Kluyveromyces lactis: one gene and its partners. The protein of the gene in region 2 interacts with the protein of the main gene of each other region in a biochemical or structural test. Links are inferred from orthologs where the notes say so. Each region holds a gene or a part of one and is shown on either strand. Other genes may lie near its edges.

The links.
Region 1: of the proteins of PBS2 (region 2) and SSK2, one has a biochemical effect on the other in vitro, tested with the Saccharomyces cerevisiae proteins (4 studies listed by BioGRID, with this or other methods). The link is inferred for Kluyveromyces lactis from reciprocal best matches to the Saccharomyces cerevisiae genes PBS2 and SSK2.
Region 3: the proteins of PBS2 (region 2) and NBP2 form a complex in vitro, tested with the Saccharomyces cerevisiae proteins (3 studies listed by BioGRID, with this or other methods). The link is inferred for Kluyveromyces lactis from reciprocal best matches to the Saccharomyces cerevisiae genes PBS2 and NBP2.
Region 4: the proteins of PBS2 (region 2) and SHO1 form a complex in vitro, tested with the Saccharomyces cerevisiae proteins (3 studies listed by BioGRID). The link is inferred for Kluyveromyces lactis from reciprocal best matches to the Saccharomyces cerevisiae genes PBS2 and SHO1.

What each region holds. Positions count from the first base shown.
Region 1 is NC_006039.1:742,797-747,836, forward strand, and holds the start of SSK2 (mitogen-activated protein kinase kinase kinase SSK2), read left to right. Parts: upstream 1-1,757; coding exon 1,758-5,040. Other genes in the region: putative serine/threonine-protein kinase PPG1, read right to left, coding at 93-1,127. UniProt on the Saccharomyces cerevisiae protein: Kinase involved in a signal transduction pathway that is activated by changes in the osmolarity of the extracellular environment. Activates the PBS2 MAP kinase kinase by phosphorylation.
Region 2 is NC_006041.1:1,361,236-1,366,067, reverse strand, and holds PBS2 (mitogen-activated protein kinase kinase PBS2), read right to left. Parts: upstream 3,218-4,832; coding exon 1,043-3,217; downstream 1-1,042. Other genes in the region: TRK1 (Trk1p), read right to left, coding at 1-351; KLLA0_E15291g (uncharacterized protein), read left to right, coding at 4,478-4,832. UniProt on the Saccharomyces cerevisiae protein: Kinase involved in a signal transduction pathway that is activated by changes in the osmolarity of the extracellular environment. Activates the MAP kinase HOG1 by concomitant phosphorylation at 'Thr-174' and 'Tyr-176'.
Region 3 is NC_006040.1:1,429,895-1,433,087, reverse strand, and holds NBP2 (adaptor protein NBP2), read left to right. Parts: upstream 1-1,451; coding exon 1,452-2,135; downstream 2,136-3,193. Other genes in the region: SLS1 (Sls1p), read left to right, coding at 1-291; U2-type spliceosomal complex subunit CWC15, read right to left, coding at 448-1,011; ACL4 (Acl4p), read right to left, coding at 2,288-3,193. UniProt on the Saccharomyces cerevisiae protein: Negatively regulates the high-osmolarity glycerol (HOG) pathway through its negative regulation of the HOG1 kinase activity. Mediates the binding between the PTC1 phosphatase and the PBS2 MAP/ERK kinase (MEK).
Region 4 is NC_006041.1:628,006-631,657, reverse strand, and holds SHO1 (osmosensor SHO1), read right to left. Parts: upstream 1,882-3,652; coding exon 808-1,881; downstream 1-807. Other genes in the region: DNA-binding protein kinase TEL1, read left to right, coding at 1-504; AVT5 (amino acid transporter), read right to left, coding at 2,205-3,575. UniProt on the Saccharomyces cerevisiae protein: Plasma membrane osmosensor that activates the high osmolarity glycerol (HOG) MAPK signaling pathway in response to high osmolarity.

The DNA of each region.
Region 1 (5,040 bases), on a different chromosome or scaffold from region 2:
TATATTATACTCAATATTTGAATATGAGATGGGACTATACCATTAGCGAAAGGGAAAAAAGAGTTAGAGATAAGCATACAGTTACATTTGCTTCATAAAAAATAGTCAACTTGTCTTTTCAGAGCATATTTTGCTTGGTGCTCATCGGAGAATACGTCATATTGCCCCATGTGTGCATCGTCATCTTCTTCGAAGAAGGAATGTAAAGTTTTATCATTAAGCATTGGATCTGTAAGTAGTTTATTTTCTGGAGCTTCATCGAACACGTTAAAGTGAAAGTCTGTTGGTGAGTATAATTCTAAAATAGATGCTTTATTCCCACAACGATAACAGTAATTGGGAGCGGACCAAACAGTGGTGACTTTCCCTCCAAAATAATCCTGATATCCCTCGTTACATAGTTGATGAGCTCTGAGCATCTTTGTGACACCATTGATGCTAAAAAATTTGTCCACTATAGCTTTACCGAAAGTGTAACCAGCACCTCTCGGTGAGACTTTGAATTGTGAAGAAGTGATATCGTTTCTGTCGTCTTCAGGGTCTGACCAGACCAAATCTGCCATGGCGCCATCATGTGGGATTTCTCTGATCCTATCGATAATCCGTATTTGATCAATGGATTGAATATTGGGTGAAAGTCCACCATGAACGCAGAAAATTGTATCATCAATGATACATGCAAGAATCAAATAATCGAATAGATCCGTGAAATACTGCCATACTTGACTTCCCTCGCCAAATTTGTTCAAACATTCCGTATAAAAACCATAACTCTGGGTGATCTGACGTGATTCATGATTACCACGAATTAGATGAATACGGCTTGGATATCTAAGCTTTAACGTTATCAGCAAAGTAATTGTCTCCACACTGTACAACCCTCTGTCGACATAATCACCCAAAAACACGTAATTTGTGGACGGCAGAGGTCCACCAATATGGAATATCTCTAAAAGATCATGGAATTGACCGTGAATGTCACCAACAACAGTCACAGGCGTACTGATATGAACAACATTAGATTCTCTCACTAGCAATTCCTTTAATTTGAAACACAACGCCCTGATCGTCTCAGCAGGAAGTAGTTTCCCCTCATATAGCTGTTCCAAACACCAATCGAGTTCCATAAATATGATATGTAATATCCTCAGTACGGATTGAAATTTTTTGACAGCTCACTAATGGGATATTTTATCCTCCCTTAATGCATGGATCCCAACGCTAGCTAGAATACCTTAAGATGCCCAACAGATAAACCTTACCACCTAGCGATGAGTCGTTCACCCCATATTCTTTGTTTAGCAAACTTTACGGCTGGAAAGATTTCAACTTTTCTTTGTAAAAATCAATAACATTAAAAAAAAAAAAATTATCATGTCAAGAACCAAATTAAAGGTTCATAGGTACCGAGCAAAGTAGCTAAAGTGTGCCAGCCATTCGGATTAGAACAGCGACGAGATCGTTATAAAGATAGGTTATAATTGCTAAGAAACACAACTGGTGTGCGGCAAACTCGAAATAAAGGGGATTTGCTTTGTAATTTTCGGGGCTACTTGTCAATTCATTGTCTATAAGGGCATTCTTCCCGGTCTTTCAGAGATTACACAATCTTAAGGAAGAAAGAGAATTGGTGGATTTTTTAAAGGGCCACTTTTACGTTTGTACTGTACAACAAAGTAACGCTCTGTTTTTTGCTTTATCTGTTTTCCTTCACGTTTGGTTTAGATTGAGCCTCTCTCAGTTCGTCGTTTAAAGCCATGTCGCAAAACAACGATAGCAGAGACGAGGCATATGTCAGGGAGCAATTCCAAAGATATACGACTAAGATGGCTTCTAATAAGAATTCCAATACTGATTCGAAATGTAGAAGTACTTCACATCTGAATTCGCTGGCTTCGATTTCAAGTGACACTTCAAATGAAACTTTAAAGGGAAATTTATCAGCAGCTTCGCCTACGTTTTCATCAGATTCTACTCTGAGTACTAAAAAACTGCCAGTTCTACAGACGCTTCCGACATCTCTGCCAAATGGACAGCATCAACAGGGGCAGCTCTTTCCTGCTTCTTCTTCAAGCTCCTCAGCAATATCTTCAAGGAAACCAAGTGTGTCTGGTTCCTTTGGAACGCAGACTCCGACTACAGCTCAGTTGAAAACTATAACATCGCCCAAACTCAGCGGTGCACTTTCAACAAGGTCAAGGTCTAATTCGCTCACAAGCTCCAAACTATTTGCGCTGAACCAATCCAATGATTCTCCGTCATCGACCTCGGTTTATCCCGTACCGCCTAATGTCGCTTCGTTGAACTCTCAAACAGCTAGTTCAATGTCAGTTTCCACATCAGCGGACCAATATTTTCCAGCACAACAGAATGGTTCCACTACAACAGTAAATTTAACTCCAACGTTGTCTTCTCCATCGATTAGATCACTGAATAATAGCACCACCAGTACCACGAAATCGTTCAAACCTTTGCAAAAGCAATACGTACTCAATGAACAGCTTTATCTAAGCTCGATGAAAAATAAAAAAGCAGATGATTATTACACGCGAGGAATAACGTCTTCTGGAAATGAAGATGATGATGATTTTAGAGTGGATGGAGAAAACGATGATGTTGATAATGACCTAAGCAAATTGAATAATGGACTGGGCTCTGCAATTTTCGGAAATAATATCGCAACGACAACAGATAAAGGCTTTCATTCCATCGATGATGATGAACTTGTATTAATGAATGATAAAATCTTACTTGAAAGGATGGAATGGTTACGCTCAGTGGAACCGAATAACCCTCTAATAGAAAATTCATTGAACCTGTTGAATAAAACTGGTGGCTCTACGGACAGTCTTGAGAGCTTTTCAAATATTGAAACGCAGCTTGCTTTGGAACAACTCTCGAATAATCATTTAGTCAGAGAAAGGCTAGAGTGGCAGACTATGCTCTCGAGCGTTTTGAATGGTGATATTGTTAAGAGTGAGAAGACAAAACTTGCGAAACGCAAGCCTGATGAAATTTTACTGAATCATAATGATCTAATATGGTTAGAACTTAAGGCTTGGTTAAATGGTAGAACCGTCGAAGATCAACGTAAATCATTGGAATATTCTAAAACTACTGCTGATGAGGTATTCGAAGAAATCTTGAACTATAAAAATGAAAAAGAAGAAAACCCTGAAGTTGTCATAGAAGAAGCCAAAATACTATTGAATAAATATTACAAAGTGGTTGGATATTGGAAAAATCTCCCCAATATGAATCTCGAGAAACCTGTAACCAAAACCTCTAATTTTGTAAGCAGAATTGAAGCACTCAATTCGTTGATAAACTCGTACGAAGGATTACAATATGAGATAGAGGCATTGAAACAATGGACTCAAAATGATGATTTGGATGTAACTTTTACGAAAGATTCGTTAGACACTGAAGGTATCTTCAAAAATGACAGATCTTTCGCAGAACAAATTATGAAAGAGAAGGACATCGAAGGTATCTTTCAGAAAAAGATCTTTTTCAAGCATGCCCCTTGGATGTTCAAGAGCAAATTGGTGTTTTTGAAGCAACAAAATTCTATTCACGAAATGCGCTTACCTTTACCGGTGGACAAATTGCATTCTCTTTTAACGTTTCCACTTCGTTTGATCCAAGAAATAATATCAATCAGATTAGAATACGCTAGAAAACTCAAAAAGCCTACCATGATGATGATTGACCAAATGATTGATGACTTCAGTACATATATCAAGCTTTCTGTTCAAATCAAGCATACCCTTATGGAATACAGATCTGGATGGAGCCTTAAGGTTGAGATAAGTGATGCTTTCGATGCTAAAGTTGTTGAAGCTATAGAGTTCTTGTTCAAACTTCTTCACTTAAAATTGATTGACAGCTCAAAGAATTCCTTTAAAACATTTAAAGAACCAGACATTTTATTTGCCCATTGGGAAAACTTGAAAAACTTCGGTTGTTATATATCTGGAGCAAGTAAAGTAATCGCACAGGGTTTTGTCAACATTACTATAAGATTGTTGAACCGACTACATCTTTACATTATGGAAGAGCAACGAAACTCAGTAGACTTAGTAACTTCTGATGATGCCAGAAAATGGGTAGTTGAAGTTATAGAAAATGTCGGTGCTTTCAAGAGAAAGACCAATAGATTTTCGAACGTCTTAACGAAGGCGTTCCAAAACTCTGTTCTTTATAACATCAAGGATCACAGCATGCTGCTGGAGAGACTTAGGAATAGTGGACACTTCTTGATCTACACTGGAGGGATCCTAGAACAAAATGGGATTTATTTAATTGCAAGTGAGGAGCTTCTAGGATGCTCTGATGATGAAATAATGGACATTATCAAATCTACTAAAATAGGGTCCGATTTGATTCCAAAAGTTGAAATTAATAATAGTTTAACTATTTACAACCCTCCAGAGGATCTTACATTACCCGAAGCGATGTTCGTACAGAAAGAAAGACGAAACGGGGTGTCCTATTATCATTTAAAACAAGATGACCTCACACAGAGAGTTGGCATTAGAGGTAAAGGAGGAAGCTCGACAGCCCCTGAGGAAGAAGGAGAAGAACTCGTTCAACTCGAAAACAAATTGAAAATGCTTGGTTATGTTTTGGTATTCTGTCCAACAAAACCAATGGTATGGAATGGAGAAATGTACAATCTTACCAGCGAAGAACCTTTGACTATGGAAGAATTTGGCCTCAGTGTAGAAGAAGACGTTATTGTTATGTTGAATCAGGGATCAACTTACGCGTTAGATTATCAAGTGGATAGGTTTCAACATTTTGCCGGTGATGCGATATCCATACGGGAAAAAAAATGTGCTATCAACAGCATTGAGACGGCTCTTCAACGTATCAATAAATCCTACTTCAGGATGACGTATATTGTATTGAAAAACTTCGGCAGCGTACAGAAGAATGTCACTTTACAGACTAACGAGAGTGTCTTTTTCAACATAGCATACTTGTTCGTGAAAGATTTTGCAAAAAACTTCCTTCTATTAAATGTCGCTACACCGG
Region 2 (4,832 bases):
AATTGGGGTAGTTAGCGCGGTAGTAATATACAGAACAATTTGTTGGTACAATGACAGCTCATTTAAGTCTACTGTGTTTAAACCACCCTGGGTTGCGGCCCCCGTGGCTAGAAACAAAATATCGATGTATGCAAAGTTCTTAACGGGATAAATAAGAATAGAACATAGTAATGCAAATGCAATGATGTAAAAGTAATGGAATGCAATGAAGTTTGGAAATATAAATTTGACGAAAGGATCGATTTTCTTTGTTAACTTTTCGATAATGTCACGAATCTGATGACCTAAAGTCTTTCTGTATATTTGTATGTTTTGAACAGTAGGATTTCGTACCACTTTGCGGAAGATCATCTCTCCGCTTACCTGGTAATTACTAATACAGGTTACCAGTAGTTAACACTGAGAATTGTTATTATTGACGGTAACTTGAGTAGCTTACCAAAAGTTTATTTGTCTGAATTCAATGCTTTTATACTTTAGAAACCTCGGTACTAAATAAATCATTTTAGGTTGGCATATGTTCAATTTTTTTTTTTTTCCATCAATTTCATAACTTTTCATGAGAGGCTTTAAATCCTCGAAGGAACATTCTCAGCGAAATGCGGCCAAACAGGAAAACCTGACACAAGTCGATAAAAGCGTTGGTGCGCTTGACATTAAAGACGCTACGAATTTTTCACCAACATTTGAGTGATCCTAATGGAATCATAATCATTGATAGAATATGGTAGGACCTATTTTTCTCAAAATATTAAATGCTACCATAAAGATGATAGCGGTTCATACAAATTACACAGTATATAATATCAGTCCAATAAATGTATTGTCGGTAGTAATTGATGCATTGGAATAAACGTAATGAATTTTGCGCTAAATAAATGGCATGTAAACAGGTTTGTAGTTCTGAAATATTATGACAAGCGCTGGAAAATAAATGGAGCAAGGCTGATTTTTGGATTAGTGGGTTTTAAACTGTGGTTCGCTTTGTTTTCTTCTATATTACGGAATAACCGGAAGATAAGAAGGCGAGGCAAAGCTTAACTTACAATCCGCCCATATGCAAAGCAGGAACGTGCTTAGGTGGACCTTCGCCTGTTTGTTCTAGCAATTCCCTTTTTTTGTTCAATCTATTCGTTATGTATTCACTCATTCTTACGTCAACGTTTTCGTATTTTTTCAACCATGGATGTTCTAATAGAGCGGCATAAGTGGGTCTACGTTCAGGGATTTTTTGCAAACACATGGAAACAAAGTTTTGAGCATCGGCTGAGAACTTTCCCTCTGGAAGTTTAGGAGGTGGGCCGTCGACGATGGCACTCAACTGTGAGAATATGTTGTCAAACGTTTCTGGCGGATACGGATAAGCTCCCAATGCCATTTCCAATATCGATAGACCCAAAGACCAGATATCTGATTGGACAGAATACGTTGATTTGTCCGGATTCAGTGATTTGATTCTTTCTGGGGCCATGTAAGATTGACAACCGATATTTGTCTTGGCTAAAGAGGCAACGAGGTTACCTGACACACCAAAATCGCATAGTTTAATTGTACCCTGGCTTGCAGAACACAAGATATTAGTTGGTTTAACATCACGATGGATGATATTATGCACGTCTTTCAATTCCTTCAATCCTTGTATTACTGAGCTTGTTATCCTTGCTAGTTGTGGTTCGTCAATCCCCCCTATTTGTTCATCATCATAAGTTTTATCTAGAGATCCACCATCCATATATTCCATACACATATAAACGGCACCTTCAATGAAAAATGCACCGTAGAAATCCACAATGTACGGTGACTGGCAATTATGCAAAACTTCAAGTTCCATTAAGATCTGTCTAAACTTTGATTCGTCCAATTCCAATCTGACTTCCTTCATGGCCATTATGATATGAGTCGGCTTGTGTAAAACTTTGGATACGTTACCATAGTTACCATGACCCAATTCTTCCAGAAACTCTAGTTCATCTAACTTTATCCGGAAACTGGAACCGTTGCTAAAGTCTACACCTTTAGAGGATAAAGACAGCTTACCTGCGAAATTTAGAGATCCTGATTTAATATTGACATACTTGGAAAAATTAGCAAACAATCCACCGATACCAGAGTTAGAATTAGAAGTAGGATTAGATTTAGGATCAGTGCCAAGTGTATCATGTGAACTATTAGCCAAAGAAGTAGAAGTGGATTGAATACCATTAATCAAAGATCCGGGATTCGAACGTTTTCCTTGCAAGGGCAAAGCAGAATTGGAGGGAGCGCCCGCAAATTCTTGATGTGTATGTTGAGGAGCAAGCTGCTGTTGTTGATGTGTTGGTTTCATCTTCAAGGACATGCCGCCCGTAGGAAGCTTCAAGCCTCTTCTTGCAGACAAAGACTGTTTAGCCTTTTGTAGATGTGGCTGACCTTGTGAAAGCCTTGGTTGATTTGGCATTACAACGCCCCCAGCAGCAGCAGGCGGTCTGAAAGTACCTGCTGCTGCCTGAGAACCTCCCACGCCACCAATTGGACTTGGCGCACCAGCATTGCCGCTGCCAGTACAACTGGGAACACCTTGCGGACGTTTTGGAGCCTTTCTAATCGGATTGAGTTCATGATCCTGTTGTTGCTTATTACTGGCACTACCAGAAGATTCCGAAGCAGATGACATACCGTCAGACTGTATACTCAAATTCGCCAGAGCCTCTTGTGTCTGCTTCTCAAACTGTCCCTTCTTTTCCTCTATATCGGGAAGTTCTGTCTTAGGAGACAGCAGCAGGCCCCCCTGCTGCTGTTGCTGCTGATCATGCTGGTCATTTTCCGTAACTGATTGTGCTAACAATTCCGTATGCTGTAGATGCTGTAGATGCTGGTCCTGTTGTTTTAGGATCGGTTGTCGTTGTTGTTGCTGTTGTGTTTGCTGTATTTGTATATTATGTTGTTGTTGTTGTTGTTGTTCTAATTGCTGGCTATTCTCAGCCTCTTCAACCATTGTCTTCGGTGGCAGAGGCGGCAACGGTTTATTCACAATCTGCTCTATCTGAACCGAATTCTGTGACTGGTTAGAATGAATACTACCGGACCGTTTCAACTGTCTCTGTTCTTGGAAAGCTTTCACTCTGGCATGCAAACTGGAATTGATTTGAGAATACGATCCATTCCCACTGCCATTTCGTCCTGGTTTCCCCTGCGACGAAGAAGATGACGCACTGGACCGTCTCAAACTATTACTCATAATTGGACACACTTAATCGCCCTACTCACCTTACTAAAGTACCCTTCACTCACTCCTTTTCTCTTCCTGTCAAAGAGTGTTTTCCAGACAAAATACTAAATCAAACTGAAAGGTTAATTTCAATTTGATTTTGAGTTTGAATTATAATCGTTATAATTATATCGATCAAAAATCAAATTTGTCAAGAAAGGAGATAAGAAAAAATACAGAAAAAATTAGTTCCCAGTAAGATGCGCCTAGCAGTAGAAGTAAAACGAAGGAATTGTAGTACTATCCAGGATCCGTGTCACAGCTAAGCAAGGGTTCTTCCCGCAGTTGCTATTGCTACACGAGGCTTTGTAAATACATTGCATAAATTATATTGTACATTACTTAAATACCCTCTCTTCATTTATCACTTGAGTATGTATGTGAAATCTACAATTCCCCTGCAAGTTTAACAAGATTATTAGACTTTCTGGTTTTTGTTGTGTCTGTTGGTCGGTGTAGCCTGCTATGACGTGAAGTAGACCGAAAAGCAAGATCGTGAATATGGTTTGAGCATTTATTTCGTAGTTGTTGATGCAGAGAGAGGGGTAGTGGTGGGAATCAGGCCATTGCCCGGTACTAACCTTGTGTGGTGCATGTATGCGGTGCAAATATGCAAATCTTTTTTTCGGGAATGTTACCCGGGGGGATGATGGTGTCCACGTGACTATCACGTGGACGTTCGTTAGTTTTTTCCAAGCTCTCTTCACTATTCTCTTTGGGATTTGTATGTGGAGGGAGGACGGTGTAGCTCAATGGACAATGTTCTACGAACCACAGCATTTTGTGCACCGTCTTAAAGCCAATTTGTCGTCGTGTGACATTCGACCCCTCATTGCGCTTGTGCGAGCATTGTGAAAATAGCGCATGTTCCCAAGTACCCTAGCAATTGGAAGAAAGCTCTTCGAGAAAGTACAATCTGCTGCCATGATGAGTAGTATTGCGTGAATATGTTCCGAAGTTGCGTAAAGAACCCTAGCACCATCTTCAATCTTTGCTATTGCCTTCGGGCTGTGATTGTCCCCTCTTGTCTTTTCTGTCCGATCCTTCCTTTCTTCATCATCTGTGAAATATTGTGTGCATATCCAATATTGACATTTTCCATTTAATATTATTATTATTATAGAACTTATATAGCCATGAAAGTAAATTATCCATGTATATTGCAGAGGGGAGACAGGGAAGAGACGCACCTTGTAGCACCCAGGACAAGCAATTGAAGTGTTGGTAGATATGGGTACTAAGGGGAATGAGATGAATATATGGAACCAAATGGTTTGCGAGGATAAAAAACCAAAGTCTACTGATGCAGGGGAACCTCCTGCTTACATAGAATCGATTGATGCTGAAAAGGACACAGGGTACTGGAAGTACGATGTAGAAAAGAATGAGAGTGGGAACGACGGTAAGAGGAAGAAGACTAGATTTGTCAAGTTTTTCCATTTCTTTTTGGCTCTTTCCCTTCTTTTATTCGGTTATCATAAAGGGTTATTCTTTGGTAACTTCTCTTGTAATCATCACCAGCTGGACGTTCATCCAGACGTTGAAACGTCATTTGAAATAACGATTAAACAATTACCGCTTCATG
Region 3 (3,193 bases), on a different chromosome or scaffold from region 2:
AGTAATTTCTCTTTCGGAGGCTTGAAGAAGCCCCGCATTGCTCCTTCTTTTGAATTGAACGTGAAATTAGAAGGAATGGAAGAACCGCAAAAGATCAGATACAATTATTTGCATCGCTACGAACACCGTTTATTAAGATTCAAGTACAAAGAAGATTGTTTGGTACAACTCTCTGAAATTGAAGGCGGAAGCTTAGGAGGCAAAGCTTCATCTATTGATTTTATCAGCACTAACGGATCCATCAACAAGGACATCGTTAGAAATTTCATCGATGACGTTTTACAATTCTGAAATCATTCGAAATATTTTGGTCCTTAATGCATATATGTATAATTATACAAAGTCATCCTGTAAATAGTGCGGAAGAACAGATATATAGACTTCATTTAAGTTTTTGACGTACACCTGTCGATTGATTCTCCATAATAGAAAAATATTTAACATAAACTATTTTACATGCTTTCGTATAAATTCCTTATGATATTCGCTTTGAGTAATATTATTGACATATTTTCCCTTCCCATTTGAATTATGTTCAGATATACTTGCCGATTGATTGACTGTACCTTTACGTCCAAATACAGTGTTAGATCTCCAACCACCATGCTTTTGCGGTTTCGTCACTTCTTCATTTTGAGCTGCTGTGATTTCAGCACGCTGTTCTCTCAGTTTTTTGTCCAATCTTTCTTGCTTAACTTTATTCCACTCCTCTAATAGCGCTTCTTCATCTTCACTCTCCTCCTCCTCTTCCTCGTACTCATCGCTACTATCCGTGGCCTGTATCTCTTCATCTTTCGAGCATTCCTCTGCTCCAGTTATTTTGATTCTTTTCTTAGCCTCCTCACTCGGAGTACTTTCTACTTTACGATTCAACACCCTCTTCTTCGTGTTTCTATACTTAACCTCTTTGTGCCCCGGTAAAAGTCTAGCGTGCTGCGTCGAAGTAGGAATGTATTCTATATTCTTTGCCCCATTCCTGGCCTCTAGTTGAGGTCTGTGCGATGTAGTCATTTCAGAACACAGTCAATATTATATTCAATCTGTAGCACTCCACTGAAACTAACGTAAGCTTATCTACCATCCCAGGTACCAGTTAAATTAGCTCACCTGTTTTGCCTGTGAACAATCTCGTGAATGTGCGTTGATGTTCAATCTTTATAGCCTTGATATGAAAAAATAGCAATCTGAAACTTCAAATGCGAATCTACGTTAACAATTACCGTGTACCAAAGAAATAAGAACTACGAACGTCGTACTGGCAACTACATATAGCAAGCTACATTTCATACCAAACTTTTCTAAGAGGACATAGGACTTTATCATTTAATCATTTCCCGTGGAGCATTCGTTCACACTAGAAATATAGAACTGAACACATATTGAATGAGGCTTTGAACTTAGATCAAAGACGGTGAGATTTACTAATAACATCAGAAGACATAACTATCATAATGTCAGAATATGAGGTTGACCAAGAGGACGATATGGTTGGGTACATATCGATAAAAGATTACGCATATGACGAATCAAATCCGTTACATTTTGGTTATTTTGAAGAAGATGATGAAGATCAGAACAACCTTCGATTGAGTGGGAACAGAGAAAGTGTGTTACTACCAGATGATTATATCGTTAATAAGAGAGCCATAGCGATGTATGCTTTTGTCCCAGAAAATGATAACGAGTTGGAGTTGAAAGAAGGAGATGTCGTATATATAAGTTACAAGCATGGCCAAGGGTGGTTAGTGGCAGAAAATCACGATAGATCCAAGACAGGATTGGTACCGGAAGAGTATGTGCAGTTGATTGAAGACGATGGCGAAGACAACGGTAGGTATGAGAATCCTAGGCCGTTTTATCTTACTCAAATGATAACGCAGAGCATGTCTAATTATCACGATGATGATTGGGAAGACATAGAAGATGACGAGGAAGCTGAAGGACATAGTGATAAAGAGCACAGAAGTATACAGCGACCCAGTCAAGATTCAGTATCAGTTGATATAACGAACAACAATGGTGTTTCTCATGATAATAGAACTGTTCTTGAAAACGGAAAAACAGGCAGTACGTTAAATGAAAAGAGCGACGTATCAGAACTCGCGAAAGATATCAAGGAGAAATTGGATCTATAGCATTCTGTTTTCTGCGCTAAATATCTATATATTAGCTGCAATATTAATTAAATACTTTTCTAGTAATACGTTACAATAAAAGTCCCGTTAAGATGAAATGAAAGAATTGATCAAAAGCAGTTTAACATGAAGCCCGTGCCTGCATTCTTAGATCATTCAAGCTCGTTGATTTCGATTTCATCAATTTCTGTAACTTCCTCTCCACGTTTGAGTTTCATTAGTTCTGTTATATCAAGAGCACCACCAATTTCATTCAACAAGCCATGGACTCCTTGGATTATTTCCTTGGCCATTTCATCGTCGGACTCCGCATTTTCACTGAACTTAGAAGCAAAGCTCAAAGAAACACGCGCCTCGTAAATAATGTCCTTCAATGACTCATTCTTGATATCCAAAGGTAATTCTTGGACGTGGGAATTGAATTCGTAGATATTTTCAGGAGATAGTTGTAATGATTGGTTTTGTTGTTTAAACTGTTCTAATTTAGCCATCAAATAATATGTGAACCCTTCCAAGTAATAGCTCTCCAAATTGTCTTCGTCAATATCTTTGATCGCTGCTACTATTTGTAAACTTATCTCGTATAATCCCATTTCAATACACATTTTTGCTAACGAGATTGCTGGTTGTAGTAATTCAAGATATTCTGCATGGCTGGAAACGCTTTCCTCCGTTAATTGTTCTTCAATGGACTCTTTTTTCATTTGGAAGAATTCCCAGGCTTTTGTGAATGCTTCCGAAGCTTCACCGAATTTTTGTTGAGAAATCTTAATGGAACCTAGCACTGACCAAACCTCCGATGACTTACCTTCTGAAATTTCCATTGCCTTTGAAATTAACTCTTCGCATTCTGATTCTGCCTCCTTTTCCATACAAAGATCAGTCATCCATATTTCTATCATCGCAAGTAGCCCATTGACCATCATGTTTGCTTGTTCTTGAGAAAGAGAATCTCCGGCGATAGCTGATACGTTTTCAATCCCTTTCATAATGATAGAAATTCCATCTGGTCCACCCGTAATCTGACCCAACGTGAAGAATTTTGCACAACCACCTAT
Region 4 (3,652 bases), about 730 kb from region 2:
GGTGAACCCATTCATATTGATCTTGGAGTGGCATTTGATCAGGGAAAGCTATTGCCAATACCGGAACTGGTTCCCTTTAGACTAACAAGGGATATTGTAGACGGATTTGGCGTAGCAGGTATCGAAGGTTTGTTTAGAAATAACTGCGAAAGAGTATTTAAGGTGTTACAAGACGAGAAAGAGCGATTATTATGTGTTCTAAATGTTCTGAAATGGGACCCATTATATTCATGGAAGATGACTCCCTTGAAGAAGCAAAGATTGCAAGCAAAGTTTACTGGTGATTATGATGAGGAGGAAATTAGTGTTTCCGATGCAGATTTCAGCGAGCTTTTAGAAGAAGATAATAATAATGATGAATCCATAAGAGCACTAAAGGGAGTTGAAAGTAAGTTATATGGAGACGGTTTGAGCGTTGAAGCAATTGTTCAGGAGCTTTTGTCCAGTGCTACTGACAAACAAAATTTAGCGACAATTTACATGGGATGGTCCCCATTTTATTAAGATTGATGTGTTTGAAGTTCTTACTCGAGATGAAGACTTTATTATACTACCAGCACCTGAAGCGATTTGCAAGCAGTATAATTATAAATAATAGCATATTCATTAAATAGCATGATTCATTCGAAGCAAGTATTTGCGTGTTAATGAAGAATTCAGTAACTGTGTTGATAAAAGCACTTGAATTTTTCGCGAATAAGGTTGATAAGCCGGTTGTTATTGCAAACTGTGGAAATAATATAATATAAAAGACGATACACAAATCAAATGTTTAATGATACAAACTGATGGGAGGCAGTAATAAAATCAGTGTGATTTCCCATCCAAAAGCTTAACGTAATTACTTGGGATAATCCCTGTTTCCCCGTTTGACTTCTTGGCTTTCCACCATCTACCCTCGATATCACCAACCCTGAGAATTTCGCCCTGTTCGAAGGATATTTCATACGCGTCAGTTTGGTCCGCTTGATAGGTATATAAAGCCTCTGCAGTGTATGGGAAACTGTTTAATTCTTCACCAATGTCACTGTATAGGCCTAATGTGTCTCCCATGGTAGTATCTGTGTTGGCATTGGTGGTATCTGTGATGAAAGTGCCAGTGGCCTGTGTATTCAGTGTAGCAGTATTTTGCGCATTAACATCAAGGTTTGGTTTCGAAGAGGAATGATCTGTATTTTCAAATCCGTTCAGCACTGTAGACGACACATACTTTGTAGACGATTGAAGTTCTGGCGCATACATGTTGCCACTGTGGCCCTCACCTTCGTCATCGTGGTGGACATCAGGCAGAGATGCTGAACGCAAGTCTTCCTGGTATTGGTATGGGTAAGAAGGTTTGACCGGCAGTCTCTGCGATCTGGCAATAGCCATGGATGTCTCTAGCACCGAAGGACGAATTCCGCGTAGTGAGAACGAATCGATCCATCTATTGGTTGGAGATGCATTATCTCCACCAAAATAAATCACCCACACCAAATTGATCATGGATAACAAGATAAATCCTGCTGCTGCTGCACCACTCTTGGACCCTTCATAGTACACAATACTGTTAGTACTATTCGAAGTATATACGAATGCGATACCAACAGCACAAGTAATGAACATTCTATAGTAGTCAACTAAATCCAAACAGTACACGATAAAAAGCGTAATCATTAGTAGTATCTCGTAAACTATAGTCCACCAAGAAAATCTTGGGAATGGAGACGTAGATGCTGCAACAGCAATGGATCCCGCCAATGCAATGATCCATGAGATCAATGCAATACTAAGTGTGCCTATGGCAAAAGGATCGCCCAAAAATGACGAGATGTTAAATTGATGAGATACATGCGGATTCTCCCTTACAGCACGGGCTTGACTTGCTTTAATCAACGCCATCTCTCTGTTTGCAGATATTCCCTTGCCTCGCTGGACTATTGGAACACTTGTGACAACACAACAACTAAAATTGAAATAAACTTGCTTCAAGTTCAAGTATGTTCGTATTGATTACTTTTTATATTTATGTATATACGGTATACATTTATCATTTTTTTTGGTGTCTGTCTACAATGAGAGATGAGTTATTTTTTGATCATGTGACAGGCAGCAACCAAAGGCTCGCTAGGAATACGCGGGCCGCTTATTTAGAGTGTCAATCGGGAGTACAATTGGTAGCAGTATCAATGGTTAGTCTCTAGTACCCTGTTTATCCTGTACCCTCAATGTGTCGCATGTAGAAATATGGTAGCACTTAGTGAAGTTATCATGACGATGAATCCCCAAATAGCAAGTAACAATGAGATAATTCTCAAGATTCGTTCTTTTGCTGGTGGTACAACGGATTTGGCGTACTCCGATGCGATTAACTTGTAGCCAAATATTCCAGGTAAGATGAAGGATATAGAAGTGGATCCGGTTGCTCCTACTATTGACAAAACGTTTGCTAGCGACGTAACACTCATAGCGAGGATGTACGAAAATAATAGGATTCCAGACGTGATAAAGATGAATCTAGGGCCTTCTAACGTTACTACTGGAGGCTGATTAGCGCTGTTTTCTTCAATTAATTCGTCTTCGCATTCGTAGGTTAACTGTTCGCTAGATTCGAGTTCAGAGTCCCGTAATAGACTGTTTTGTTCTGCACTTGTGGTTGTCATTGGGGGATGGGTGTTCCCCTTGGAGAAGTAATGTAAGATATGATTGACAGATGCTCTAGCTGGATGACATTGTAGCGGGAAGGCAAGGATCACTAACAATGCTATAGCTATTCTACCGATGGTGCTGGAAATGGAGTTTGGGTATAAGGTGATAATGTTACCAGTAATATGATCACCGAAGGTGCAATAACCTAGCGCTCCAATGGAAATGTACAAAGACATTGCTAGCGTAATGGCAATCCTAATCAATTTCGTTATACTGTCTAAAGATTTGTCTGATTGTTCATTGATGATGGAAAACATGTTGTGATGGCAAGTATACGCGAAAACGAAAATTGGAAAACTGCTTAGCATGGATGAATCCACATCACTGGGTTTCCAGATGCTAACATGGCCTCTTAAATGGTCGATTTCGCTATTTGGAACGGCAAAATGGAAGACAACTAATACGCATAAGTACCCAACTGCTGTAATTGCAATGGAAGAAGTGTACCTTAAAGAGTCTAACTTCTTAATGAAACACAACGGTGTCACGATGATCAACGTAACTGCAGTGATGTGAAACTGGCGTGATAAGAGCCACCCATGGGTTGTAAACGTGGACATTATCTGTGGTAACAAATCTCCAACGACCACCAAATATGAAACTCCGACCCCAAAACATTTAACAGCAATTGCAGCATCGAAAACGACGCTCAATTCAGGACGAGTTAATCTGCAAAGAGTGAAAAACGAGGCATGTCCAGGAGGAACGTATTTCGACACGTATGATTGTAAATATAACCCCGTAGAGGAACACAAGCCGCAGAATATAATCATTGACAAACCCAAAATCAATCCAAAGGGTTTAAAAGCATAAGGCATTGCAAGGATACCAGCCCCGCATGCCGTATGAAGAAGTGTGATGACCCCAGATTGTACACTGGATGACATCCTGTACTACGTTATAGTTAATTTTAAGGTGCTATCTCGTCAGTAGGAGAAACTACCTGTACTTCCTTATTTTGTGT